Linked DNA regions of Diceros bicornis minor. The protein of the gene in region 2 purifies or fractionates together with the protein of the main gene of each other region. This does not show direct contact. Links are inferred from orthologs where the notes say so. Each region holds a gene or a part of one and is shown on either strand. Other genes may lie near its edges. The genes, in order: PRDX1, KRAS, HNRNPA0 and HSPD1.

Region 1 (7,922 bases), on a different chromosome or scaffold from region 2:
AACCTGGGAACTCCCGGGCCACAGCAGCAGAGCGTGCACTTAACCGCTACCCACCAGGCCGGCCCCAAGGAGTGGTGTGTTCTCAAGCCGATCTGTTTTCGAAAACAATACACCATCAATCTGATGACTATTGCTCTGAAAACTCTCGGAGGGCAACACTCTTGGAGGGCCAGCGTTGTGCCTTGCTTGTAACGATCCTTGTGGCCACAATTAAGAGCAAAATCCCCAGGGCTGGGGAAGGAGGGAGCTGGTTATAATGACTCAGCAGTTCGTCAGATGGCAAGGTCACCACTTGATTATTGCCCTTCAGACTTTTAAGAAGTCAGACTCACTAGAAAAAAAAAATTGAGGGCTGGCCCATGGCTTAGTGGTTAAGTGCGCGTGCTCCGCTACTGGTGGCCCGGGTTCGGATCCCGGGCGTGCACTGACGCACTGCTTCTCCGGCCATGCTGAGGCCGCGTCCCACATACAGCAACTAGAAGGATGTGCAACTATGACATACAACTATCTACTGGGGCTTTGGGGGGAAAAAAAAAAGGAGGAGGATTGGCAATAGATGTTAGCTCAGAGCCGGTGTTCCTCAGGAAAAAGAGGAGGATTAGCATGGATGTTAGCTCAGGGTTGATCTTCCTCACAAAAAAAAAAAGAAAGAAAGAAAAAAAAATTGAGGCAGTCCATCAGATCCTGCAGAAGATAGTGGGAGGGATGGGATACATAGGATGTGTCTATTGATGGTTAACCTTTGCTGGGCTGAGTTTGAAGGATCCTAAATTCTGATCACATAAGCCAAATTTGAATGTCATTATGAGGATATCTGGTGTGAAACGTTGGGCACTTGGTCCCTCAGGACACCATTTGTATTGGGGAGACAGTGGTGAGGAATTGGGGGGGGGAGGGTAAAAAAAGAGAAGAGCAGCGCCTGGGGCGACGGGGGAAGACCAAGGTGTGGGGAGAGAAAGGCAGGGCTACACCGGGACAAACCTGCTTCTTTCCAACTCCTGCCAAGGAAAACACAAATTCAAGACATCTCTCAGCCGAAACGGCAAGGGCTATTTCAAATCTCAAATCTCTAACTTAATACCTGTCTGACTTTGGACAAGCTAATTTACCTGCTGAGTCTGCCCAATCTGTAAAATGGAATGTGAATACCATTCCTAACTTCCTCACAGGAGGCTTCCAGTGTACTGGTAACGTCTATCTTTGTTTAGATGGTAGCTACATTGCAAAAAAAAACCTCACAGAGCGTTACGTTTAAGATTTGTGCATTTTTTTGTATGTATGCTATACTTCCATATAAAGGCTTACAAGAAATAAAATTGAAAAGAACATCCTCCTTCCAGGGTTGCTGTGAAGATTCAATAAAATCATGTTTATAGCCTGGTACAGTGCTTGGCACATAAAGCCGTGGCCAGGGTCCACCGACCAGATAGAGAGACGAGGAACTTTCTATGTCCTGGAGTCCGGAGACCCCAGGTCTTCCTTGTTATGGTCAGCCTTTGTGTTGTGGCTGCTCTCTAGGCCTCAGTTTGCCAGACCAAATAAGATTAGATAAAATCTGGGCAGCTGGCCAACCCGACTCTAATGGAGAGAATGGGGATGTGGGAGATCAAGATTTGGTCACCCTGAAATATATCTCTTTACCTTGATTGTTTTCTCTGAGGGACATTTGACCTCCCCCACTAACTGCCTAAAGAATTTGACATAGTAACTCCTTCCTGGAACAGATCTTCTATCTGATGGCTGTAATATAATGTAAAATAGATGTTACAATAGGAAAGTCACCAACAAGCCCATCTTATCAAAAATTCTGTCTCTCTGGCCACATTCTCTAGATGGCCCTGCAAGGAGTTGCCAGACAAACATTTACATTTATAAGGGAAATCTCCATTTGTAAAGGTATCTCTCTCTCTGTATTGGGAAGGGGGGGGATGGCCTCATTTCTAGAAACTTATCAATGTGGAACGTGAGGCCTTAAAACTGCATAATAACCTTACTCTTATTTACTTGCTTCAGTGGTAATCTCCTAGGAACTGACTCCCCCTACCCTCAACATCCTCCTTTGTTCTTAGCTAAAGATGGTATTTAACAAGAGAATTTCTGCTATTGTGTTGAGAAACTCAGTGTCCCCGGTTTCTCCCATGTATACATGTTATTAAACTTGGTATTATTTTCTCCTACTAACCTATCTTATTAATTATTTGGCCAGCCATAAGAACCTAAAGGGAAAGGGCAGAGGGGGATTCTCTCTCTTCCCCCACAGAGGGAAACCCCGGGCAGTCAGCGCTGCAGGACAAGACACCAGAAGAACGCCAAACGTGGCACTCAGGAAGCCTCCTCCCTGCGGCAGGGGAATGAGCTCCAACGGCCTAGAGCGGCGTGGCCACCACGCGCGGTGCACTGTGGGCCAGCAGAGGCTCAGCCTGGCCCCGCCCCCAGGGCCCCCTCCGTGGTCAGAGGCGCATGCTTCCTGTGCAGGCGCATTCTCCAAACTTGGGGGTTTCGTTTGTCCGTGCTGGTCCCAGTGGGACCACCAGCACCCAGGGGCGGGGATGGTACAGCCTCGCGAGTCTGGCGTGCTCACCACTTCCACCCCAACCCCCGAGCTCTTTTCCGGGGGTAAGAGGCGGGGTCCACCACGGCCAGTTCGGCTGAACGCCCGGCCTCCGTCCCTCCTCTGGGAGGAGCAGCCTCTTCACCGCCAGACTTAAGCCTGATCCCTGCCTCCACTTTCCGGTGACTTTCGTTGCAGCCCACCATTCCCGGAAGCTGAGGCCCATTGGATCCTTAGCAGGGCGCCGAGCTGAGCCGAGTTCACACTCTCCTGTTCACGCTCTGGGCTCGTGCCGAGGTGAGTTCCTCCTGCTGCTGCCCCATCTTTCTCTCCCTAGATAGAGCGGAGAGCGTAGCCTCTGGAGGCGGCCAGACTTGGTTTCGGGTTTGAACTTTTCTTCTTCGCTGTGTGATCTTGGATGAGTTCCCAGTTTCTCTGGACTTCAGTTTCCTCAGCAGTGAAACGAGTTCCTACATCAGAACTGTAGCGAGAATTAAGTGAGATAAAGTTTTTAAAGCTCCCGACACATTTAAGGTGCTCAGTAAGTTTTAGTTCCCATCTTTTTTGTTTGCTCAACGGCATAGTTTTTCCAGGAGCTCTGTCCTTCCTATGGAATTGGAGAGGTGGCTTCTCAGAAGTGGCGGGAGCGGGTAGAATTCTCTTACTTAGGCAGTTGCCTTGGGTTTGGCATGTTTATCTGTTGCCCCAGAGAATGTTTTTCTGTTGCCACTTTTTTAAGTGAGACGAATTTGAACCTTCATCGACTCTGAACCTTCACCGGTTGGGGCTGCTATTAATTAACTTCTCCCTTCAGCTTGTCCACACTCAGGGCTGTAGGACCTCCCTTAGAAGAAGGTTGGTGGCTCTGCTCCGGCATGTTACTTTTCCCAAGGTCTAAGTTTTGTCATCTGAAATACAGGAGCAATCCTAGCATAATCCTGTCTGGAGCCACTGGTATTTTTTGTGGCTAAAGTGCTTTGATATTTTGCAGAGATGATTCTTTCCAGGTTACCCAAGAAGTAAAGGAGGCTGGCGATGGAGGCAGTGACTTCCTCAAATACCCCTCCAGCTGGCCAAAGTCCAACTGTCAAGATCACCCCCATTTGCCTCTCTTTGTGGGTGTTTAGTGTATGTGTATGTATGTATGGAGCATGCACTCTGGGAGTGAGGAGTTCAGACAGATGATGGGCCCTGACCTCAAGGAGTACCTAGGTTTGTGGGAGAAACATAACACACAAATACAGTGATGTATATGGGAGGAGTCAGAAATTTAAAGTGCCAGCTGAAGGATTAGCAGCAGTCAGCCGAGCAAAAGGTGAGACTTGGGGAAGGAAAGTGTGCAGAGGCCTGGAGTCAAATGAGTGGTGGCTTGTTCTGCAAAGTCTGGAACATGGAGTCTGGAGTCTGGAAATGAGGAGGTGGAGAAATGAGGAAGGTGGGGAGCCAGATTATGAAGAGTATTACTAAAGAGTCTGGACTTTATCCTCAAGGTAGGAGAGAACTGCTGGAAGAGTTTGAGCCTGAGAGTCACATGGTTGCATTTGGTGAATGGATTGTGGGAAGAGGGGAGACACTGGAAGCAGAGCGATCCCTGGTTCAGGTCAGGGTGGTCAGAGCTAACATAGTGCCAGTGGAGGGAAGTATGGATGGACTGGAGAAAGATTTAGGAAGTATATATTTTTAAATTATTTTCACATACATTAAGAAGTACACAAAGTGTTATTTCAGTCTTAGGTTTTACATTACAGTTTAGAGCAAACACTGTCTTTTTTTATATTTACAAGTATTAACAGGATTTTTAACTCACCCAAACAGACCAAATCTGAGCCACCATTGCCCATGTTGGTTTCTTAGAATTACAGGAGAAGATGTACTCCCCTCCCCATCACCTGTCAAGACTAGAATCTGATAATACTCAGAAAGGCCAGAAATGAACTGAAATACTTTATTTAGATGGCTTTTTTTAAGACCCCATGGATTATGCTGTGAACATGTTGTCTGGTTTGCTTTAACACATTGTCCAGGGTCTTGAGTCTGTGGTGAGACAGAGTATACAGAAAGAAAGCGGGGATCAGGCACTGTGTAAAGTGCTTTAGATATAGTATCTCTTAAGAATGCAGGGGCTGAGATTCAAACCCAGGTCTATGCAACCCTGTAGTTTGAACTGTTTCCTCTGCACTCTGCTGCTGGATTTGACAAGTACAGTTTTGGACACATTGAGTCTCAGATGCCTATAGGACATACACTGGAGATGTCCAAAGGGAGCCGAATAGACCGAACTGGTGGGAAGAATCAGTGCCTAAGGTGGTAACTGAAGACATGAGCTCAACTAGGGAGTGAGAAGAGGATTGGGGACAGAACCCTGAGGGACACCGACATTGATGGGAGGCAGAGGAAAGGCCCATGCAGCCAGGGGACACTCATGTAAATACTGCTTCCACTTTTTCCTGTGTTTTCGAGTTCCCTGTGTCCAGGCAGGAACTATAGAGCCCTCCTCTGAGAAGAGAAGACTGAGCCCCAGCGAGAAGGAAGGCAGGCACTGAGTTGGAATCATAAAACCTGAGTCCTGATACTACCCCCTACCCCACCACATACACTCAGTTTCTCTGTTTTATATCTAGAATCTCTCCCAAGATAACATGCGGGTTTCTGAGTGCTGCCAGAGGTCCAGCTCTGCAGCTCCTGACAGACTCAGAGCCTGTTAATGCAGGGCTAGGCTGGAAAGCCGTTGAGTCAGGCAGAAGATGAGGAAGTCAAGAGCTGTCATAGGATGACTTCCTGTCCTCAAGACAAACATCTGTCTTGTGCTGCACCCTCTCCGTTCCCTCCTTTGGAACTCTTGTTCTTTGCAGATCTTTCTTAGGTGTTCCTACCTCTTGATCCCTGCCCTGCCCTCCAAGCCTCATTTTGGTTTTCAGTTTCACCAGCAAAAGAAAAGGAGAAGCAGACATCAGGTTTCTTCTTCCTTTTCCCCTCAGGCTGGTGTTTGTTCAAGCTCTCAGCCCAGGTGTAATTTCAGAGCCCTCCCATGTGTGCTGGGAAATCGGGGAGAGACCAATAGGTCACTTGTTTGGGGATCAAGTCCAGGAAACTAGTCACAGACCCTGGTGGCAGCTGGCAGGCTAGTTCCTCCTGTGAAGTCCAGACATGCTTGCCTGACCCCTAAGAAGTTTGATAACAAAGAGTATTGCCCTCAGCCATCTGTGGTTTGCTGCCCAGATTGAACATTTTTGTTTCTGTTTTAACAGAAAAGAGCATGTTTACCATAACCAGGTTATACTAGACTCTAAAATTCTTCCTGAGTCAAAAGTATGAGGAAAGACAATTTTAGTGTATTGGTTGTATTCATCACTTGTCTTATCACCTGCTCTACCGTAATAATCTTGATGTCCTTTCAGAACTTGGAAACAAAGGTTATATTTATAAAGGCACTGTTGACAATGAAGTTAATCCAGGGAGAGTGATATTTATAGTACTGATGAGTTCACGGGAAAAGGTTGTTTCTACATTATTGGCTCTTGGTGTGGTGAGTGTTCTTTCTGCTTTTTGGTTGGATGACTCCTGTTTCTTAAGACTTGACTTAACTCAGACTTGACTTGACTCAGATATCACCTCCAAGAAGCCATCCTAGCCAGATTCCCCTTTTCTTGCAGCACTTGTGCAGATTTTGGTCATCTCTCTCATACATTGTGCTGGACATCCTCTGTCCTCCGCCCACCAGAACATGAACTCCAGGGGAGCCGAGACTCTACTTGAATATGTGTGTCTCTTGGGTCAGGCACAAGGCCTGGAACATTCATCATTTGCTGACTGAATGAGTATTCTTGCGCCATTTGGAGACTTCTGATTTTCCTAGCTCTCCAAAGGTGGTTGTTCCAATCACTCACATGCTTTGCTCAGTTGGAAATTTTCTTCTATCTGTAATTTACTGCTTTCTGCTGCACTGATGTCCTGTGTCTAGTTCCCCTTCCCCTTGACTCTTGGGAGAGTCCAGTTGTTAAAAGCCAATGTCAATATTCCATGGTCCTTGCGCTACAGAAATCACTTGGTTTTCTGTAGCACATTTTACATGTGTTTACTGTGAGGCATTGCACATGTATTTTATAGGTCTGTGTTTACCTGCCTTTTTCTTGCCTTTTTCCATTAGCTCCTCCTTGGGTCCTTGGCTCTGCTACTTCTTATTTGTTTTTCTTTTTTGATGAGGAAATCAGCCCTGAGCTAACATCTGATGCCAGTCCTCCTCTTTTTTTGCTGAGGAATATTGGCCCTGGACTAGCATCCGTGCCCATCTGCCTCTATTTTATATGGAATGCTGCATGACAAGCCGTGCGTGTGCACACCTGGGATCCTAACCTGCGAACCCCGGGCTGCCGAAATGGAGTGCACACACTTAACTGCTGCGCCACCGGGCCGGCCCCATTTTTTTGTGTGTGAGGAAGATTAGCCCTGAGCTAACATCCGATGCCAATCCTCCTCTTTTTGCTGAGGAAGACTCGCCCTGGGCTAACATCCCTGCCCATTTTCTTCTACTTTATGTGGGATGCCGCCACAGCATGGCTTGACAAGTGGTGCCTCGGTGCGGGCCCGGGATCTGAACCCGCGAACCCCGGGCCGCCAAAGCGGACTGCACGCACTTAACTGCCACGCCACCAGGCTGGCCCCAAGCTCTGCCACTTCTTAGATGTTGATTGGGGTGAGTAACTTCACCTGTCTGAGCCTGTTTTTTATCTAAAAAATGCTGTACTTTCCTTATAAGAGCCCACTCGGGCCTGTCAGCATGGCCGATCTCTGTGAGAGGGACTCACAGAATCTTTGTAGTTCTGACAACCTCCTGGGAATGTTCATTTCATCCTCAGAGGAGTGACCTTTTCCTGAGCCTCTTCTGTCATCTGGTCTCGCTTTGTCTCATAATGACCTTTGCCTGTCTTACACTGGCTTGAGACATTATGTAATCAAGGCTGGGTCCTTCTGGAGAGACACTCTGCCTTTGTTTTTAGGTGTTGGAGCTCTTTAATACAGACCTTTAGCCTGGTAGAAGGAAGGGCAGCCAGGCTGGTGGTCCAGTTAGGGTTTGTCCAGGAGCTACTGGCTTTGGTACGTTCTGGGCACCGTGTCTCAGTTGCCTCTGCTCATAGGCACATGCACACAACAGCATGTTTGTTCTCCTGTCACCTCTGTGTCCCTTTCCCGCCCATGTTTTACAGGAGTCTTGACCGGTGGGTAGCTGAGGCCCAGCCAGCAGCACTGACCTCCGCACCATTCTCTCCCTGTCTGTGTTTCAGGGGGCAATGGCAGCTTCCTGTGTTCTCCTGCACACTGGGCAGAAGATGCCCCTGATTGGACTGGGCACCTGGAAGAGTGAGCCTGGGCA
Region 2 (7,032 bases):
AAATACTGATAACTTGTAAGATTAACAGCACAAGACAGAAAATATTTTTTAATCAGTTGTTTCAAACTTTTTGAAATAAAATGAATAAATTTAATTTTATCTTCTTTCCCTCAACAACTACATGACAGTATTACAAATAAGAAGTGAAATGCAGAAAGAATGGCAATAAATGCACACTCATTTATTATAGAATAAGTAGTTCCAAATTAATGAATGTGCAGATATTGTATATAAACACTATATGCATGCAGCATCCTATTTACTGAAGACCAAGAATTATCCAAATAGGCACCAAAAAAAAAAAAAAGATAATATCGTTTTCCAAATGATAACATACTAACCACCGCCTCACCCTATTCCTGAGCCCTCTCACAAAGAGCAGACAGGCTACACAACTGTTGTATCACAGACCGTTACATTACAGCTCCCTGGCCTATTCTGCACCACCCAGCCTTACTCGCTGCTCATCTGGGGCCACCCTAGGAGCCACTACTAACATCTATCTTATCCCATTTGCTCTCACTTTTTATTCTAAATATAGGCCATAGCAAATGGGATAGACGAGGAGAATCACACCAAAATGTATCCTCTAGCTCCCTGCCCACCTCACCCCGCAAAATAATTTGGATAGCATAGAACAGTAGTTCTCAAAATGTGGTCCAAGAACCCAATGGGGCTCCTAAGACGTTTTGGAGGTCCAAGAATTTCATAATACTATTAAGATGTTTTACCCTTTCCACTCTTATGCTGTCACAAGTATAGAGTTTTCCAGACGTGTGATCACAATAGATTGAATGCAGAAGCTGATATGAGAATCCAGATGTTTTCTATTAAGCCATATAATTAAAGAGATTTGCAAAAGTGTGAAACAATGGCACTCTTCTCACTGTTTTATTGTTTTGAAAAATAGTTGTTTTTGCATTAAAAAAATGCTATTTATGTTACTAAGTAATAGGCCTATTATTTCTATTTTTAAATGAATTAATAAATTTCTTAAATTCTCAGTTTTAATTTCTATTATGGTAAATACTGGCATACCCCATATTGGGATCTTCAATAAATTTTAAGAGTGTAAAGGGGTCCTGATGACCAAAAAGTTTGCTAGCCTAGGTGATACTGTGGACAGATGCTGGATTAGAGCTTAGTTGTGCATACATGTGTGAATTCTGAAAGACAGACACCTTCTTGGTCTACTTGTTTATGCAGTGGTTGTTTCAGAAAAAAATCCTTGAATTGGATTTTAAACACCAAGTAATATTTAAATCCGCTAGAGAGAACCGGCTTCCCAAGGAGTCTTACTGAAGATCATAGGCCAGAAAGAGTCCCCTCACCCAAAGATACAAAAGCAAGGGGTGGAACTGGGACCAGAACCTAACATTTTGTTAAGCAAAAAAAAAATTCACTTTTATTTGTCATGAAACTGAATTATCACCTCATCTACCATCTCTTAAAACCAAGTATGCCTGTGCCTGGCTGCAGTCTCAAAGTAAACAGTATTGATATCAACCGTATTTGATGTCTATAGTCTATTACATGTTCGAGTCAGCATTTTAGACCTTAGTCACCTAAGAGTGACATCACTCATTTAGCTGCTTCTGAGATGATGATTACAACACAGACTTTTCCCCTTTGTAATTTCTTTGCAAATGACTTTTTTTCCATTACAAATGTAACAGGTACGTTGTGTAAAAATCAGAAAATACCTTTCTGTTCTTAGCCTCTTATTTTGATGGATATCAAGATATAAAAAGGCTAGCGCAGGGCTTCAGCTATGGTATGCACACGCCTCAGAGTATTTCAGGCAGTTGGCCGGCAAATTGCTACAATTAACTCCTCTCCTAAATCAGTTTAAAAAAATTGTGTGAGTGCTGTTTAGGAGTACTGTAATAACTCTTGGGATGGGGGTCAGATGCGTAAGGATGAGGGGAATATAGAAGAGATGGGGGAAAGGACAAGAACAGGCAAATTAAACTTCAAATACGATTTTAGTTATTGCCGTCTACACTCACCTAGCAAGGAAAAAGCCCTGCTTCTGCTCTGAGGGTTTTCTACGTGTGTTTTAACTTGACAAAGCAAAAGAGACCTTCTACGATTAACTTTTTCCTTTTCACTAAGTCACAGGCTTTACGTTGTAGGGTGTTGGCCACCTGTTCTTCCACCACCATCTCTACCTCCACCTCCTCCTTTGTGGCCACAGCAATGTCACAGCCCATACATGGGGGAGGGGAGCAGTCAGGAACTCGGCTGCAGATGCATTTTTTCCAAACACAATAACCTCAAACAGTGGTCTCTAAGCACTTTCCCATGCTCTGCCAAAACCTGACCTCCCCTCTTACCCCTATACCCCGCTACACAGTGAGGACCACTATCCGTCCGGCCTGCGCTCGAGGGAGAAGTTTATACCTTCGTCCTAGAGATGCTAGATGCAGCCGAGAAGGCAGTGACCGAGGCAGCCGAGCGCTGGGAAGGGAGGAAGAGGTGCGGGAGCGGAGGGAGGGAGAGGGGAGGACGACGAGGGGGAGGGGAGACTGGAGCGCAAGCGGGAGTAACCTCCACCGCACCCGACCGCCCCGAGGGGCAGCCCGCCCGGCCCGCGAGTTGCTCCCCGGCCGCCTCCAGCCGCGGCTCTCGGGGAGGAGGAAGGAAGGGGTTCCCCGTCCAGGAAGCAGCACAAGCGGCGGCCGCCTCTAGCCTCACCCTCCTCAGCCCCGCAACGCCCATTCCTCATTCCCCGCGTCGCCGCGGCCCCGCGCCTCCCCCTGCAGACCCCCCGAGCCTGTCTGCCCGTCCGCCCGGGCTCCGCGCCCGCGCCCGCGCCCCCTCCCCGCCCCTCCAGGGAACCCTAATTCATTCACTCGCCGCCGGCCCCGCCCGGCGCCGGCGGGGAGGGTCGGGACCGGGGCAGGGGCCCAGGAGGGGTGGTCCGCTCCGTACCTCTCTCCCGCACCTGGGAGCCGCCGAGCCTCTGGCCCCCGCCGCCGCCTTCAGTGCCTGCGCCGCGCTCGCTCCCAGTCTGAAATGGCGGGGGCCGGGAGTACTGGCCGAGCAGCCGCCACCGCCGCCGCCGCCACCGCCGCCGCCGCCGCCACCGCTCTGCCTCCGCCGCCGCGGCCGCCGCCTAGGGAAATCGAGCTCCGAGCACACCGATGGGTTCGGGGCCGGGCGGCCGCAGAGGGCAGAGCTATTGATGCGCTCGGTGCTCGATTCCTCTCCAGACGGGCGATCGGGGAGGGAGCGGCTGAGGGCGGTGTGGGAAGAGGGAAGAGAGAGAGCCGGCGAGCGCCGCTGGGGAGGAGGAGGGGCCGGGCCGGGCCAGGGGAGGGGGGCGGGCCGGGCCGGCGGAGGAGGAGCGGGGGCCGGGCCGGCGGAGGGAGGGGGTGGCTGGGGCGGCGGACGACGGGGAGCCCGGCCGGCGGAGCAGGGGGCCTGGGCGGTGCCTCGGCGGCGCGGGAGGAGGGGCTGCCGACCCCACGCGGCGGCCCGCCCCCAGGCTCCCGCCGCAGAGCCGAACCCGCAGCCGCAGATTCGGACCCGGGCCGGCGCGCGATCGGTCGCGCGCACACCGCAGGGACACCTGAGCGACGCCAGAGGCGACCCCGCCGCACCCCTCTCGGGTCTGCACGCGGAAGCTGCGAAAATCCCGCCACCCCTCGGGGTCGGCCTACACTTGTGCACATTCATTTACTGTCATTTGCTGCCAGTAAATAAACACGCAGTCATGAAATGTGGGAGGCGACTTCGGTGACTGGGAGAGACCGGCAGACAGTTCCCCACCCCGGGGCTTTCTCATCAAGGCTTGGTGATTATCAGCCTCAACACTGGGGTTGGGAACCTAGCCCCAGGCCCAAACCGACGTGACTAACCCTTTCATCACTCGTCTTATTTGTTGTTGTTTTTATGGCTATTTTGAAGCCATCACAGGTCACTCTAAAGAGCGACCTCAAATGTACCTATTGCCCCTGACGGCACAAGCAGAAGACAAACTATTTTTAAGTAGAAGTGCCTTTGATAGTTTAGACCTGAGGGGAATCATTGACACATTAATTAGAAGACTGAGATTAATCAGTTCACATTTGGGGAGTTAACACATTAAACAATGAAACAGTTACAACTGCTGGCATACCCAGAGTCTGCGCTGATAAACTACCTAGAAAGGTAAATTGAGTTTTAAAGATTGAGGCCTGGCAGGCCAACGCCTATACCTAATGGAAACACCCATCTGAATCTCTACTTCCAATTGTGTCCCTCTAGTCCATGTCATAAAACATGGGTTAAACAATTATTTTAAATCCCAACGACTGTGTCTGTTAACTTAAGCCTTACACCAACTGTCAGCCTTTTTTTCGCACCCCCTATGTGGGCTGTAGTCTGGAAGGCTTATTGGGTCCCCCTCGCCTTGCTCCTGGTACTAGGTGGAACAGACAGGACAGGAAGTAGAAGACAGGGATGGGAAAAGAATATGCCTACTCTTTGTCAAGTAGTTGCTAAATGTTTCGCGCATACATCTTATTTAATCATCACAGCAACCTTATTTTATAGATGAGGAAACAAAATCAGAGAGGTTGAAAATTGAGCTCCAGCAGCCCTATGGCTTAGCGGTTAAGTGCGCACGCTCCGCTACTGGCGGCCCTGGTACGGATCCCCGGCGTGCACCGCCACACCACTTCTCTGGCTGTGCTGTTGTGGCCGGGTCCCACATACAGCAACTAGAAGAAGGATGTGCAACTATGACATACAACTATCTACTGGGATATGGGGGAAAAAACAAAGGAGGAGGATTGGCAAGAGATGTTAGCTCAGAGCCAGTCTTCCTGAGCAAAAAGAGGAGGATTAGCATGGAAGTTAGCTCAGGGCTGATCTTCATCACAAAAAAAAAAAAAAGAAAAGAAAATTGGGCTCAAGTTCACACCGCTAAAATGAAGTATCTTTTAGGTCAGACCATGTTCACTCCTCTGCTCCAAACTCACTCATGCTCCCATCCTGCTTAACATCAAAGCAAAGTCCCCTTACCTCTCTGAACTCATCCTACGCGTCTCCCTTCCTCACTTCTGTACATACACACCGGTTCCTGGCTGTTCCTTGAAAATGCCAGGCAGGCTTCTTCCTTCCTCGGGGCATTTGCACTTGCTGCCCCTCTATCTGGAACACATGTCCACTATATATCCATAACGCTTCCTCCAACACTTATAAATCTTTGTTAAGGTGTCTTCTTCTAATGAGTTCTTCCCAAAAGATCATCTTTGATATTGCATCTCTCTCTCTTTCCCCCAAATCCTAAATATTTGGGGAATGTTGAATAAATGAAGTTGTGTACCCTCCTTCTGAACTCTGTGACTCCACATCCTTACTTAGACGGAGTGCCTTAAATTCTCTGTGATCTCTGTTTTCACCTTCTTATAAAATCTGCCTTTAAACACCCCCAGGTCACCTTCTGATAAACTGTACCCTACGGACTCTAGAAAAGTGTCCACACATAATGGACACAGTGGGTTTTTCTTAAATGAATGAATTTGCACTTATTTGTATGTTGTTTTGTAGTCACTCAAATATATATCACAGATTTATTTTGTCCAACTTCTGCAAGTACATGATAAGCTCTTGTTTTCTCTGACAGCTGCTGATACAATATTCTCCCTGTAGTTGGGGCTCCATAAATCTTACAAGGACTATAATATAGAGAAGTGCTATTATAATATATAGCACTTTCATGGTGATTATAAAAATTCTGGCGTTAGGAGAAACCTAATCCATCCACATGGTCTCTGTTATCATCTGGGCTCACAATTCCCAAAGCAAGTCTTCATCCCCCTATCTGTTCCGTACACCTTACCCTCCAGCTTCCCCTCACACAGTTCTCTCTGCTTCCTTGTCACTCCGACAGCAATGTATATATTTGCTATGTGGAGCTTTTCTGCCATTCAGTCCTGAGCGCTTTCTCAGAAGCCAGCAGCCTCCTCCCCAACACTCTCTGTGTTTCCTTGACACATGGCTTAGAGCAGTGATCTCAAAGGAAAGCGCTTCATGAATCACCTGGCATACTTACAAAAATGCAAGTTCCTAGGCCCCTCACCCTTATATTCCATTCAGTTGGTCTAAAGCAAACCAGAAATCTTCATTTTTAACAAATCAGGTGATCCTAGACTGGTGGTTAGCAGTCTGTATACAGAGAAGTGATCTGATCTAGATGTGATACTCAGATTCCTCTCTTTTCTTGACAGCTGTGCTTTCTTCTATCTTTTGGGTTCCTCTTCTTCAAACCTAGAGGCTGCATTGAATAGTTTCCCTGGCTCTCCCTTTCTTTGCTCTCCCCAAGGACAAGCACACAGGCTCATTCTGTGATCGTGATGGGAAAAGATAGAGGGAATAACAAAAAGCTTAAACTTGGTAATTCCAGGCTTGCTCTACAATGTAACTGAAGTTTCTACCCTCTACTGTTAACTTTTCTGGGAAGGCAGCCACATACACATGTGCACGTGCTCACATCCTTTTAATCCTGCTTTGTGAAGATCATATTGACCCTTCAGGAGATACCCTCTTCTGAAGATGTAATCAAAGCCAAAATAACAGGAATACCCTTGTGTTAGTAGGGATCTTACAAGATGTAAAATGCCAGGACATGTTCAGAGCACTGCAAATGCTGAGGGTTTATTTTAAGGAAATAAGGAAACTTTAGCAAACTGTATCATCAGCCAGGACTACTAGTCATTCCAGGAATCAACAGCAGTTCTTGTGATCCAGTAACAGGCTCTGGTGCCTCACTCATCCTCTCGTTAACGAGCATGTACTGCCCACATTCTAGTAATTTTGCCATTCTCCTGAATCAGTAGCTCTCTGATTCTTTCTCATACAGTCTCAGCTTCTACCACTATCTCTGCTTCCCATGACACTCTCTGTGACTTACATTTAAAACATCCCAAGGGAGAGGATCTGAATGCATCTGTCATTCACTATCCAATAAGAAGGGTCTTTATGGGACACAATTTTCCTGACGGGCCACGTGATTGGTGACTGGCCTTCTTTATGCCTGACTTA
Region 3 (6,782 bases), on a different chromosome or scaffold from region 2:
CACAAACTATTTCTTTAGAACTACACAGTACATACTTTGAAGTAAATTCTCATAGAAAGTAGTGACCAACTATGTCAAGATGATAAGCAAATCGCTTAGTACAAGAGATGGATGCACAGAAACTTTAAAGATTTTAAAAAGCCACATCCACCACTTCAAAAGTTTTGCCTGTAAGGGATAAAATTCAACAAGTCACTAGCAGGGAAACAAACAAAAAAAAAAAAACCACAGGACCTTTTAAACCTTTTAAAAGTTTCTCTTAAGTACACATCAAGAATTGAGAATTAACACGAAAAATTTTCAACTAATATCCCTTAAACGGTACGGAATGGATCCTAGAAAAAAAATGTTAGACATGTACGGTCAAACACAATGATTTATTAAAAATAAAACGTAAAAATGATTTTTGTACATATACTTCCAAATTTCAGGCATGGGATCCAAGTAGATTTCATAGAAAACGCTGTAGCCAGGTATCAAGTCCTTACAACAAAGTAAACTACCCCCCCACCCCAACCCCCGCCCAGGTTTTGCTACAGAATCAGCAAGTTCACTCCCTCCCCCCAAAAAAACACAAATTAAAACAAGACGTTTTGCTAGTATAAAAACGACCAAGGTCCAAGTAATAATAAAAAAATAGAGTCCATCAATGACTGTAACACAAAAATGTGTGTGTGGGGCCGAGTCCATCTTCAGAGGGAGAGACAAGAGGTGGCAGGCAAACAGGGCAACACCCCCAAGAGTAAGCAGCCTCAAAAGAGGCTCCCCCAAGGGCAAATGGGGAAGGCGGTGGGAGGGAAAGGGACTTAGGAATTGACCCTAGTCGGGCTGTCGAAAAGAGCTACCCCTATAGCCGCTCCCAGACATTTTTAAATTTTCTTTAGAAGGAGCTGCCTCCATAGCCACCCCCACCGCCATAGCCGCCTCTGTAAGGTCCACTGTTACTGCGACCGCCCCAGCTGCTGCCGCCGCCGCCGCCGCCGCCGCCACTCTTCATGGGCCCGTAGGAGGACTGGTGCTGGCTGTAGCTGCCGAAGCCGCCGAAGCCGTTACCGTAATCGCTTCCACCGTAGGACGACCCGCCGCCGCCGCCTCCGTAGGCATTGTAGCCGCCGCCGCCGCCGCCGCCGTAACCACCGTAGCTGTTGTAGCCGCCGCCGCCCTTCGACAGGCCGTTCTGGTCTCGACCACCGCCGCGCCCCCGGCCGCCTCGGCCGCCCCGGGAGGACCGGGAGCCGCCTCCGCCCCCTCCGGAGTGGATATCCTCCTTGGGCACGGCCTTCTTCACCTCCACGCGATGACCCTGGATCGGGTGGAACTTGACCACCGCGGCCTTGTCTGCCGCGTCGTGATTCTGAAAATACACGAAGCCGAAGCCGCGCTTCTTGCCGGACTGCTTGTCGGCAATGATCTCGGCTTTCTCCACGGTGCCGAACTGCGAGAAGTGCTCGATCAGGTCGCCCTCGGCCACGTCTCCCTTAAGGCCCCCGACAAAGAGCTTCTTAACCTTGGCGTGGGCACCGGGCCGCGCCGAATCCTCCCGGGACACCGCCCGCTTCAGCTCCACCGTGTTGCCGTCCACGGCGTGGGGCGAGGCGGCCATGGCGGCGTCGGCCTCCTCCACATTGGAGTAGGTCACGAAGCCGAAGCAACGGGAGCGCTTGGTCTGGGGGTTCACCACCACCACGCAGTCCGTCAGAGTCCCGAAGGCCTCAAAGTGGCCGCGCAGGCCCGACTCACTCGTCTGCACGTTGAGGCCGCCGATGAACAGCTTACACAACTGGGAATTCTCCATCTCCAAGGCCCGGGCCTTGCCCCCGCCCTGCGAGCTCCGAGGTTTCGCCGTCGCCGCTATCGTTGCCTGAGGCCTCTTCACAACTTGGGCCCAGCCGTTGCTGGAGCCGCCACCGCCGCTCACCGACGGGGAAGGGAAGAAGGGAAGGGGAGGGAAGGAGGAAAGAAGGAAGGGGGAGGGAAGGGGAGAGGTGCCGGCTAGAGGGCGAGCCGAGAAGACTGGAACACAACCAAGGCCGCCACTACCGCCACCGCCACCTCCGCTCCCCTATCTGGACACCACACAAAGAGGCCGCTGAACGCGCGCGCACCCTCCCCGAGGCGTGCGTCACCGCCGACGTACGGCAGCCCAGGGCTGTCAGCCAATCCCCGCCTCGCTCTCCTTAGTCCCGCCTACCGCGCCGCAGCGCCGCTCTCGGTCACGGACTCCCCGCCCTCCGCAGTCTATTCAAGCCCTCGGCCTCCGCGGCTCCGGCCGCCGGTTGTAGCGCCCCGCTTTCACTCCCGGGCTCCCCAGGGTGCCCTGACGGGGGACTCTCCTTGCCCTCCGCACACCTCCGCGGTTCATTTCCTGCCAGCCTCGCGGCTGTTCCCAGTGATTGTCCCCCTCCCCATGCCATACCCCATGGCCCAACTCCGCAGTGGCGTTCGCGCCAGCCCCTTGAGAGACATATCAGTTCAGCCAATCACCGCGATCCGCTCACACCCACTTCCGTTTTCGGCAGCGGCTGGACGGGCGCGCTCCCCGGTGCGCGCCGGCCCCGGCGTCCCCTGTGTGCAGAGCTTGCATGCCACCCCCACGCCCCCTCCCGCGCGCGGCTTGGTGCGGGGCTGGGGGCGGGGGAGGGAAGAGCGGAGGCGCGCTGGGGGCCGTTCCCAACGGATGCGGCCTGGGGCGTCACGCGCGGGCTTTTTGAAAACTTGGCTGTTGGGGATGGGGGCCTGGATTTACCCGCCGCGTTTGGACCCGGCCGCTACACCTGGCGTCCTCGCCCCTCCCGTCCGCACAAAGATGGAGGGTAGAGCCGTGGTCGGGGAAGGCGGTTAGTAACCGTTTACGGTGGGCCCCACGCGCAGTTAAACTAAAACATTGGCACGTGGCCCTGCGCAAAAGCGAGCCCCAGGCACTATGAAGGACAACCGTGTGCCAAAACCGACTCAGCCTTTCCCACCGAGGTGTGGCGCGAGAGCCCGCCGCTCTTTGGCCGTCCGCGAAGCCCTCCCGCGACGCCCCTCTCAGCGCCCTTCGCGCACTCCGACAGCAGACATTTTCATTTTACCTCAGTAAACACACCACTTTATATGTTTAATTTACGTTATCTATGCGTTGCTTCCTTCCCGACTAAAACGTTTGCCTTTTAAAGGCCTTTTATATCAGACTGGGAGCCGAGGAAGTTAAACACATGAACATTATATACAAATATCATCCACCCTGATAACTGCCTTACAGACCCTCACTCAGGCGGGACTGCATGAGAATTATAACGGCTTCCGTTTATTGCACCTTCGTGCGCCAAGCAAGATACATGGAGGGGCACATAATATGAGACATTACGTGACCCCCAAAACCATGTGGTAAATATTGAAGAAGAGGAATCCCTCGTATCCTGAAGTAGTCAGGAATGACTTGTGAAAGAGGTGGAAGTTGCACTGAACCTCAGAGTCAAAGGCTAAATAAGATTTCTATAGGGCGTTTGAGCAAAATCAGGAGGAAACAAGCTACAGAAGTTTCAAGGGGCAGTGAGCGGACCAGTTTGACGGGAGCAGGAGGTTTTTGATAGAAAATATTAAGAGGTAAGATAGGTTAAGGGTCTTTGATATGGAATATCTTGAATTTTAGATTGAGTTTGAATATTATTCCGAAGGTATACAGATAGGCTACAGGGTTTGGGGACAAACTAGAGTCTGGCTCTACCACTTAGTAACCCTGTGACCATCGAGTTGTGTGACTTTGAGCAAGTCACTTAACCTTTTTTAAAACTTAGTTTTATTATCTGAAAGTCAGAACAATAAAACACCTTCCAAGTGTGGTAAAAATTAAATGAGATTCTGCATGTAAACGCAGAGCACTGTGCTGGCCATAGTAAGTGCTCCATTTATCCAACAAATACTATACCAGGTGCTGGGAATATGGCAGTAAACAATAGACAAAAATCTCTGCCCTCATGGAGCTTATGTTCTAGTGGGGAGAAGCAGACAATAAATGAGAATGGTATATAGCATGTCAGATAGTGATAAGTGCCATTGAAAAATTAAAAGAGAAGGTCAATAGGATGCTCTTACCCTGTTACAAACAAGTCAGATATGTCAGCTTTTGCTAACTGATTGATGACAAAGAATGAGGAAAATAAAAGCACTCCAATGTTTGAAATCTGGGAGTCTAAAATTGCAGCAGGGTAGAATTAGAAAATCTAAGAAAAGAAACTATTTTGGAGGGAGTAGGGGGAGATGATGAACATGGTTGTTAAAGATGATACTGGGATATTCACGGGGCCCTGTTTTCTGGGATGCCCAAGACTATAGCTCGGATAAGAGATTAGACCTTAAGAAATCTACTTTAGAGTCATCCAAAAAATGTTAAAGCAGTAAAAGATGAATTTCTGAAGAGAATAAGACCATAACTTATTTTCCCATCTAAACTAAATTTTAAAGAAATAGTTTTCTCCTACGTTGTTTTAAAATAATCACACCACCTAATTGGGGATCCATTAATTTCTATTGACAAGAAAGCTTCATAGAGGCATATGTCCAGTATAAGCCATGCATATAGAAGAGGGGTAGGGATGATGGGAGACAACACAAGCATGTTTGAGAGACATTTAGGAAGCCAGGATAAATGCAAGATAATTGGAATGTTAGATTCTTTTCGGAGATTAGATTAGTAAAGGTAGGGATAGTGAATAAGAGTGTTATATAAACACTTAAATGATGCAATTTCCTACCCCTCAGACTATTCAGGGAGAAAAACTTTTTTTTTTCCTATTCTACTTTTCGTTGCCTGAGTTTGTTTCTTGGCTTTACCTTACTTACAGGTGTCTCAGCCTTCCAAAACAAAGAAATGTAAAAATGTAACTGAAATTTAGGCAACTTTTGGTTTCCATCCCTCCTACAAGCTTGATTACAAAAACCTAATTGAATGTGGTGGTTACACAACTCATAGAACTGCATATTAAAAAGGGTTTATTTTACCGTACCTAAATTATACTTAGAAAAAGAAAAAGACAGAAAGAGAACAGGAGAAAGGGGGAAAAAACGAACTGAAGAAGAAAAGGAAAACTATCAGCAGCAACTCTGGGTTTTTTTTTGGTCAATTTTCTATTACACCCAAAAGTGTCTTTTTGCAGTTAGGATTATGTTATGGACTGAATTGTGTCTCCCCTCACCCGCCCCCCACCCAAATTCATATGTTGAAGCCCTAGCCCCCAGTACTTCTGAATGTAACTGTAACCAAAAATAAGGTTTTTAAAGAGGTGATTAACTTAAAATGAGGCCATTAGGGTGGGGCCTTAATCCAATATGACTAGTGTCCTTATAAAAAGTGGAAGAGACGCCAAGGGCACATATGCGCAGAAGGATGACCACGTGAGGAGGCAGCAAGTGGGTGGCCGTCTGCAAGCCAAGGAAAGAGGGTCTCAGGAGAATCCAACCCTGCCAGCACCTGGAGCTTGGACTTCCAGCCTCCAGAACTTCGAGAAAATAAATTTCTGTTGTTTAACCCACCCATTCTGTGGTATTTTGTTATGGCAGCCCTAGCAAACTAATACATATTCCATTTTTATGTACTCAAGGTATCTTCCAAAAAGGCACTCTCTGCCAGCTGTGATGAAGTACAATCTTCCTAGTGGACTCTTAAAAACTCACATCAAAAGTTAAAATTTGAGGGGCCGGCCCGGTGGCGCAAACGGTTAAGTGCGCGGGCTCCGCTGCGGCGGCCCGGGGTTCGCTGGTTCGGATCCGGGCGCGCACCGACGCACTGCTTGGTAAGCCATGCTGTGGCGGCGTCCCATATAAAGTGGAGGAAGATGGGCACAGATGTTAGCCCAGGGCCATCTTCCTCAGCAAAAAAAAAGAGGAGGATTGGCGGATGTTAGCTCAGGGCTGATCTCCTCACAAAAAAAAAAAAAAAAAAAAAAAAAAAGTTAAAATTTGACCCATCCTTTTGAACCAGAAATGATGCTTCTGGAAATTTATCCTAAGGAAATAATTAAGGATCTGTGTAAGGATTTAGCTACAAGGATGTTCACTTCAATACTGTTTATACTAGAAAAAAATTGGAAATTACCTAATTGCTCCCAATTAACCAATTACATAAAAAAGGAACTAAATATTCTCTCTAAGAATATTATGAAGCAATTAAATTGATATTGTAAAGGAACAATAATGACGTGTTTGCGTATGAATCTTATGCCATCATGATGATGTGTGAAAGGTCACATTGCTTATTTTACCAAATCAAATTAATTCTGAACTTAATTTGAACCCCATACTTGAACAGAATGGCAAAAATGTAGATTGGGGCTCCTCTCACCCTTTTTCACTCAGAGGCCTTTGCCTCTCTCCCCTTCCCCTCTTTGGCTATCTAAGAGAAATGCCCTCAATAAAATGCTTTTTGTAAAAAAAAAAAAAAAAATAGGCACATGGAGGCTTAGTTTTACAAGTTGCTCCTGAGGCAGCAGAATACACAGACCTATTTAATCTGTGAAGATATTACTTGTATCTTGTTCTACTGCCTGTGTATTCCCTTGCCTCAGGTGCAAAATCCAGGCTTTGAGAAGGGATTTATATTTGTTTCCTTCACTTGAGAGGGGACATCAAAGGAGGAGGGCTTGATGTGAAAAAAGGATAGCTTCCCAAGTCTAGGAGAAGTGACCAGACAAAAGGTACAAACTTCTAGTTATAAGATGAATAAGTCCTGGGGATATAATGTACAGCATGATGATAATAGTTAACAATACTGTATTGTATATTTGAAAGTTGCCAAGAGAGTA
Region 4 (7,265 bases), on a different chromosome or scaffold from region 2:
AATAAAGTACCATGAAAATTTGTATTTTCATGAAAAATAGAATTTTACCTATTTTACTTTGCTCCATTATTTTTGTTGAACAAAAGGTAAATGACAACATACTGTTCTGAAACGTGGTTGCACACCCAATGCCCTTATTTTTGACCCCAACCTCTCACCTCAAAACTTTTCCCTATTAATTCCGAATATAATCTCACGAAATCTAAAATTATTTCTTTAGCAATTCTGCCAGATAAGCATCACACAACTACTTCTGTGGTACAAAAAAAAATTCTCCCATCCTTCTGATTTTAGTAGGTTATGAATCTCAACTCATTTGCTTGGGTCTTCACAACAGAATCAGGGAATAATGAGAAAGCCATGGCTTTTGGACTAGATTCCTAACTCTGCAATTTACCAGCCACATGGCCTTGAACCAGTGGCTTCATCTCTTCTGAGTCAGTTTCCTCATTGGTGAAACAGATGGAAATCTGTGCTTACAAGGTTATGACGTGCAAATCTAGCTGTGCTGGGACACAGGAGGAAACTGATGACCCACTTGGTTGTGTAAACAGAGCTTTTCATCATAATTCTTATATCTAAATATGACAAAAATCAAGCTTTAGTATACCAAATGGGACTCACATACACATAAATGTTAAGTGCACATACCTACCACTTTACCCATGGGGACATGATCAAAAGATGAGACCATTATTCCATGCCATTTACAACTTCATTTAGATTTCAATTCCACAACTTTTAAAAGACATGATCACAGACTAATTATAAGAAACTAAAACTAGAAAAAAAATGTGACTGCCAAGACAGAACTAGCTGGTAGCTGATGTAGTTGAGTTTAGGGGTTAGTAATTAACTCTGGTGTAGGATTGTCTGGGTTCAAATCTTAACTCTCCTGAGCTGCTATAGCTAAATCAAGCTATTTACCCAGTTCTGTTACTCAGTGTCCTATTAAATCCAGTGAACTGTATACTAGATACCTAATTGCCAGACACCTTACGTACCAACCCCCCCCAATACCACAAAGGTTCCTTTATCATCACATTTGAAATAATGTGTATCAAGTGCTTAGTATTCTGACAAACTAGCAGAGGCCATAAAGGATTAAGTTTTCAACAGCAGTATCCATGGTGGATGGCCCATATCCAAATCCTGCTTTGCTACTTCCTACTGTGAGACCTTGGTTATTACTTACCCTCTTTGCGCCACACCTTCATCAGCAAGATGAGAATGACAGTATCTAGCTCATAGGGCTGATGAAAGATTAAACCAATTGATACATGCAAAGTACCTACAGCAGTAGTCAGTACAGGAAAATGCTTCTGAAGGGTTAGCTATAATTACTAGCACACACTGCCTACCCTGGCATACAGAAGGCACTCAGCCAATGTTATCTAGTATACCTTGCCTTGGATTTTTTGCCAAGTAAATTATGTAGTAATATTAAGTTTTTGTAAATATAAAGCATAAGAAACAAGACATATAAGACACTAGATTCCATAAATGAAGAACTTCAATATGTTTGTTATAAGTTAGAATGTTGCTACTTGACTTTACTTTCTTAAAATATGTAAGTGTAAATTGATGGCTTTGTACCAGCATCAAATATCTATGTAATAAAGCTAAATTCAAAGTGAAAATTGGAAACCTTGTTACCCAGAATTCTCTGCAGAAATTACTTGAAAAAAGAAAAAAAGCATAAAATAGAGAACTCTAAAACCATCTTAAATCACTAAAAGATTAACCATTCATTTATATATTTTTATTTGGAAATGTTTATATCAGTACAGTGAAACTAAATTTTAGAGACACTGGATGTCATTAGTTTGGATATCATTAGTTTATTATAAAAGAGAGACATGGAAATTATTTACAAGATGAAAGATTTCAGTACTTCAATGGAATGGGCAGCTTCACGTGATGCCATTTCAATAGTGATTCATTTCAGTCTACATACTTTCCAAGAATGTCACCATCTCTAAATAAGAAATAATCCTGCAAATAAAGAAACCATTAGTTAAGAAAACTAATACCAAATATGTAACTTCTAAAAAAAAAAAATCCATTACGTTTACACACCTTGTCGTCTAGAACTACTTTGGTGCCTCCATACTCTGGGAGAAGAACTTTATCTCCCACTTTCACACTAACTGGTTGAATCTCTCCACCCTTAAAAAAATAAGAATGTTTATTAGTAGAGACATCTAATTTACCAAATATTTACACCTAACTTTCATTAATCAAATATGCTCACTCAAATCAAATGTTAAAAAAGAACTTGGTGGCCAAGTGATATAATCTATACAATTGTAGTTCTTCACTCAAAACTTATCATTGTAGAGTCACACTTTGAAATGAGGCACACACAGTGGCTTAAACTAAAACCTGATTTCACTGTAAAAGTTCAAGGAGTTATACTGGGAAAACTAACTTAAACTAGCTTTTAAATTGTTAAATATTAACATAACCCATCGACTAAGTGAAATAAACAAGTTTTAAAAACCGTATACATAACAGTCTGTATAACTTCCTTCAATACACAAACACTTAACAGAAGTTTTCTGAATTCGGAACATACATTTTTTTTTCCATTCAATTTCCTTTGCTCCCAAGTATAGACTTGGGGAGGAGACTGAAGCAGAGTGTCCACTCTTCCAAGCCTTCCTATTCCTAACTCCAGGATTCCTTGCTAGAACTTTCTTAGAGGCATGGACAATGCAATTAACATATTTGACCCTAAGAGCATTTACTATGTATTCTGGTTGACACTTTTATAAGTCTGAAATGTAACCAATTAATTAGAAAATGACCTTGAAGATAACACAAGCTACGTAAAAGCCTATTTTTAATAATAACCAATAATTACTTTTTCCCTCCACATAATAGTTCCATTTTAGCCCCCATTTACCTTTCCTTTAGAGCCCGATCCAACAGCCACTACTGTTGCTTGCAATACTTTTCCTTGAGATTTTTCTGGAAGCATAATGCCTCCTTTGGTTACAGTTTCGGCTGCACTCCTTTCAACCAATACTCGGTCAAAGAGGGGAAGAAACTTTCTAAATGCCTGTCCTGCCTGTAGAGAAAGAAATGTCGGATAACACAAAAACAACATGTAATTATATTCTAAACAGGCAACACCACTGTAAGCCTTCTGTATCACAGGCCACGTGTGGCTTTCAAAGATCATGCCCAAACTCAGATTATTTACCCAGGAAACCCACTTGAAGGTTCTGCTCTGTAGCCCGAGTTTAATTTCCCATTCCCCATGTGTGTTAGGGGTCCTTGCTGCTCCTCTGGTCAGCAGCCAGACCACCTTTAAGGGCAACCTTAGTTTATTCCAAGGTCAAATACTATCCTTCCTCAGGTTTTTCTGGGAATTTTCAGCAAACACTGCAGTCAATCCCTACGCCCGGGGCCATGCTTTCTCCGACATATTACACACCCCCCAGCGCCCTGCAACAGCCGCAGGCCGGCCGCCGCGCGGTTCGGGGTTCCCGGCCCACAGGCCTGCAGCACGCGCGCGCGCAAAGAGCCCTCGGCGCGGGGAAGGGGCGGAGGGGCCTCGCCTCTCCAGGGTCCCGGCGGGCGCCGCTCACTGGGTGACCCCCACCCCTCCGGCTAGGCCCAAGAGAACCGTCCGGACTCCCGGTGCGCCTCAGGCCGACCCGGGACCGCCACCCCCCCGCTCACGGCGGCCTCACCATGACTCCGGCCGCCGCAACCCACACTCCGCTCTAGCGCCGCCGTCGCAAGCAGAGACCCGTAGTCCGACCCTCGAGACACGTGAACTTGGGACAAGGCACCCGGCGCGCAGGCGCGCTCGCCCCCGGCCCCCGCCCCTCCCCGCGCGAGGGGGCGGCCGCAGCAGCGCGCGCCGCGATTCGCCGCGAGGGCCCTGCGCAGGCCCCTGACGCCGGGAGGCGGAAGGAAAGAGGAGCCCTTTCTAGGCTTTTCTAGGCCCCCGCCGAGGTGAAAGTACTAGCCCTCCGCCCTCCTCCCGGATGTGACGCGGTTTAACCCTTAACCCGCAGGGAGCGCGGCGCCCCCAGAAAGTTCTGGAACCCAGCGCAGCCCGGGAACCAGCATACGCCGGCCGGAGAGGGCCGAGTCCGCGGGCCTGGCCCGGCGCTGGTAGGGAGGGGCGGGCTGGCCCGCGGCGCATGCAGATTGCCGGGCCTGCCGCCGGCGAGGGCGGGAGCCGCCTGCGCGCGCGGCGCGGCGGGGCGGGGGAGTGGCGGAGGGAGGGGACACGGGCTCATTGCCGTGTGCGCCCTGCACTCTGTCCCTCACTCGCCGCCGACGGCCTGCCTCGCCTTCCGCACGCCGCGCCGCCGCCCCGCAGGTACGCGGCCGCTCCGCGCCGCCGCGCCCAGGGCCTCGGACCCCCGAGCCGGCCTCCCCCCGCTGCAGTCCTGCCTGAAGTGGGCGGCGGGGGAGAGCCAGGGCCTCCTCCGGCGCCGCAGGCCCGGGCCCCTTGGCCAGGCCTGGCGGGTCCATGCGCGAGCCCATCACGTGCCGCGTGGAGCCCTCGCCCGGGCAGGGCGCAGGAGGGAGGGCTTGCCCGGGAGTGCGTGTGGAATCGGGGGAGTGCTCTCGTGGGCCCTCCCATGCAACCCACTCCTGGACTGCAGGACCCCGGGGAGGGTGGTCTCACCCGCGTGGGAACCGCGTTTGGCCCCGCGGACCGCTGGGGTACGGCACTTCGACCCTGACCTTGCTCGGGGCGTCCTGATGGAAAGACACTTGGGGTCGCGCCGAGTGGGCCAGGCCGCAGCCCCCTGCATCGCGGCCTTGCGGGCTGCTCTGATACAGTAGCCCCGAGAGGATACATGAAGGCACATTTCACTAAGCGGAATTTTACGCCGTCAGGCATATTTGTACTCTCCTGGTCCCTCGGGTTTATAACCTGCCCGTCTGCTGCAGGCTTGGTTTTTTTAGGGGCGCGTGTGGAGTGGCTTTGCTCTGAAGGCCGTTTTAGCAGTGAAAGATTAACTCCTTTTCAGCGGCAGGGGTAGGTGGCCATGGGGACGAAGAGGGGCCTGCTTTGTGCTAGTGCTCTAGGTCAGGCGTGGAGGCGGCCTCTTCAGGCTCGTCCTGGTACCTGGTGTTCTGCAGCTGTGGCGCTTTCCGTGGCCCGGGTGTAGTGGCTGGCAGAGGTCAGACCAGCTCACGTCTAACACTTTTTATTCTGTTGCACAGGTGTCATTTTTGTGCTGTAACGCACCACTGGGAGTGCCACTATTGTACTGATGGTCTGCTTTTTTTCCCACCCAGAAATGCTTCGATTACCTGCAGTCCTTCGCCAGATTAGGCCAGTGTCCAAATCACTGGCTCCTCATCTCACTCGGGCTTATGCCAAAGATGTAAAATTTGGTGCAGATGCCCGAGCCTTAATGCTTCAGGGTGTAGACCTTTTAGCCGATGCTGTAGCCGTTACTATGGGGCCAAAGGTAACTGTTGTTATTTTGTTATACTTTATAATATTGTTAATTAAGGAATAATATTTTACTGATGAGAAGTCACACTGAACTGTTGAACAGTATTTTAGTATCCGTTTTTGAGAAAAACCAGTTTACATATGTGAGTTCTAAATTATTGGTTAATTTTTTTGTCTTTTTTTGCTTAGATATAATGGTCTTAAACTGCTCCTGCCAAATTTTCGAAACTTTCTTTTTTACAATGTGTGATGTAATCGAGTGGTAACTAACTCATAGCTCAAGGTGGATTCTTAAACTCAGTGTAGAATTAATCTTGCTTGCCTGCTTGAGTTAAATTTTGGATTCTTTCCCAGTAGTTAATACCAAGCATAGAAGGAAGACTATAAGTACGTCCCATAATACCTCAAGTATGTGCTTTTAGGTGCTAGTTTTACCTAGTGTTTTTCTCTTGTCCGTTCTGTTCTAAAGCACATTTAAAATTCTAAGTCTTATTTAACGTTAAGAGATTGGTGAGCGAGGGGTGATAATTTGAGGAGGCTTTTGAAGGTGGTGCACAGTTGAAGACCGTTCAAATATCAAAGTAATCCAAACTGTATAGATTACAGCATTTGCATGCCTCACAGGTAGCAGCTGTGGTTCAAATCCAAAAGCTGCCAATACTGTTTGCACCATGTTTGAGATTTAATGTTGAACGATCCTGGAAGAGTGCACTATACTTACCTTGCTGTTAATAGTTTATCTTTTTTTTTTTTCCTTTATTTTTTTCCCCCCAAAACCCCAGTAGATAGTTGTATGTCATAGCTGCACATTCTTCTAGTTGCTGTATGTGGGACACGGCCTCAGCATGGCCGGAGAAGCGGTGCATCGGTGCGCGCCCAGGATCCCAACCCGGGCCGCCAGCAGTGGAGCACACGCACTTAACCGCTAAGCCACGGGGCCGGCCCGCTGTTAGTAATTTAGTAACTAAACTTTAGACTTTAAAAGTAAGTTTTCACAATACTTTCAAAGATGGCAGGCACAGGACAAAATTTAAGTATAAATGATGTGAAGAATATTCTGGAATTTAATTATAATCTACCAGATTGGTATTGGTTTATCTCATGTTCTTGTTGTTTTCTAAGAGGACACCTTTTAGTCTCTAGGATTTTTATCCCCCATAATACCTTATTCAAAGTTATGCAATTGGCAACAGAGAGGTAATTTTGCTTGTAAGAACATTGATGAATTTGCCCTTGAGATTCATGCTGCTGATTTGATAAGATGACAACTTGCATTGAGGCTTTTGAGTGATTGCCCCATTACAGTCACGTGCCATTTAACAACTGGGATATGTTATGAGAAATTGTTGGGCGATTTTGTCATTCTGCGAACATCATAGAGTTCTTAACACAAACTTAGGTAGTATAGCCTACTACACACCCAGGCTGTGTGAAACTAATCTTATGGGACCAGTGTCATATATGCAGTCCGTTGTTGACCGAAACGTCGTTATATGGCATGTGGCTATAAAAACTGCTCGTTCTGTTTTAAGTTAAGTAGTACTTAGAGTGCGAGTCTGTTCCATTTTTTTTCCTCTGCAATTATAGGGAAGAACAGTGATTATTGAACAGAGTTGGGGAAGTCCCAAAGTAACCAAAGATGGTGTGACCGTTGCAAAGTCCATTGACTTAAAAGATAAATATAAAAATATTGGCGCTAAACTTGTTCAAGATGTGGCCAATAACACAAATGAAGAGGCTGGGGATGGCACCACTACTGCTACTGTTCTGGCACGCTCTATTGCCAAGGAAGGCTTCGAGAAGATTAGCAAAGGTGCTAATCCAGTGG

What was found.
Region 1: the proteins of KRAS (region 2) and PRDX1 purify together in Homo sapiens (affinity purification with mass spectrometry; 3 studies listed by BioGRID and IntAct, with this or other methods). This does not show direct contact. The link is inferred for Diceros bicornis minor from reciprocal best matches to the Homo sapiens genes KRAS and PRDX1.
Region 3: the proteins of KRAS (region 2) and HNRNPA0 purify together in Homo sapiens (affinity purification with mass spectrometry; 3 studies listed by BioGRID and IntAct, with this or other methods). This does not show direct contact. The link is inferred for Diceros bicornis minor from reciprocal best matches to the Homo sapiens genes KRAS and HNRNPA0.
Region 4: the proteins of KRAS (region 2) and HSPD1 purify together in Homo sapiens (affinity purification with mass spectrometry; 3 studies listed by BioGRID and IntAct, with this or other methods). This does not show direct contact. The link is inferred for Diceros bicornis minor from reciprocal best matches to the Homo sapiens genes KRAS and HSPD1.

The regions. Positions count from the first base shown.
Region 1 is NC_080752.1:8,459,706-8,467,627, forward strand, and holds the start of PRDX1 (peroxiredoxin-1), read right to left. Parts: upstream 3,021-7,922; 5' UTR 3,016-3,020; intron 2,849-3,015; exon of another isoform or gene 2,548-2,848; intron 1-2,547. Other genes in the region: AKR1A1 (aldo-keto reductase family 1 member A1), read left to right, coding at 7,840-7,922. UniProt on the Homo sapiens protein: Thiol-specific peroxidase that catalyzes the reduction of hydrogen peroxide and organic hydroperoxides to water and alcohols, respectively.
Region 2 is NC_080756.1:37,462,772-37,469,803, reverse strand, and holds the start of KRAS (GTPase KRas), read right to left. Parts: upstream 3,008-7,032; 5' UTR 2,948-3,007; exon of another isoform or gene 2,935-2,947; intron 2,520-2,934; exon of another isoform or gene 2,404-2,519; intron 1-2,403. UniProt on the Homo sapiens protein: Ras proteins bind GDP/GTP and possess intrinsic GTPase activity. Plays an important role in the regulation of cell proliferation.
Region 3 is NC_080740.1:56,395,329-56,402,110, forward strand, and holds HNRNPA0 (heterogeneous nuclear ribonucleoprotein A0), read right to left. Parts: upstream 1,885-6,782; 5' UTR 1,796-1,884; coding exon 881-1,795; 3' UTR 523-880; downstream 1-522. UniProt on the Homo sapiens protein: mRNA-binding component of ribonucleosomes. Specifically binds AU-rich element (ARE)-containing mRNAs. Involved in post-transcriptional regulation of cytokines mRNAs.
Region 4 is NC_080749.1:75,337,877-75,345,141, reverse strand, and holds the start of HSPD1 (60 kDa heat shock protein, mitochondrial), read left to right. Parts: upstream 1-4,250; 5' UTR 4,251-4,342; intron 4,343-5,274; 5' UTR 5,275-5,276; coding exon 5,277-5,450; intron 5,451-7,024; coding exon 7,025-7,265. Other genes in the region: MOB-like protein phocein, read right to left, coding at 2,909-3,073, 3,702-3,704. UniProt on the Homo sapiens protein: Chaperonin implicated in mitochondrial protein import and macromolecular assembly. Together with Hsp10, facilitates the correct folding of imported proteins.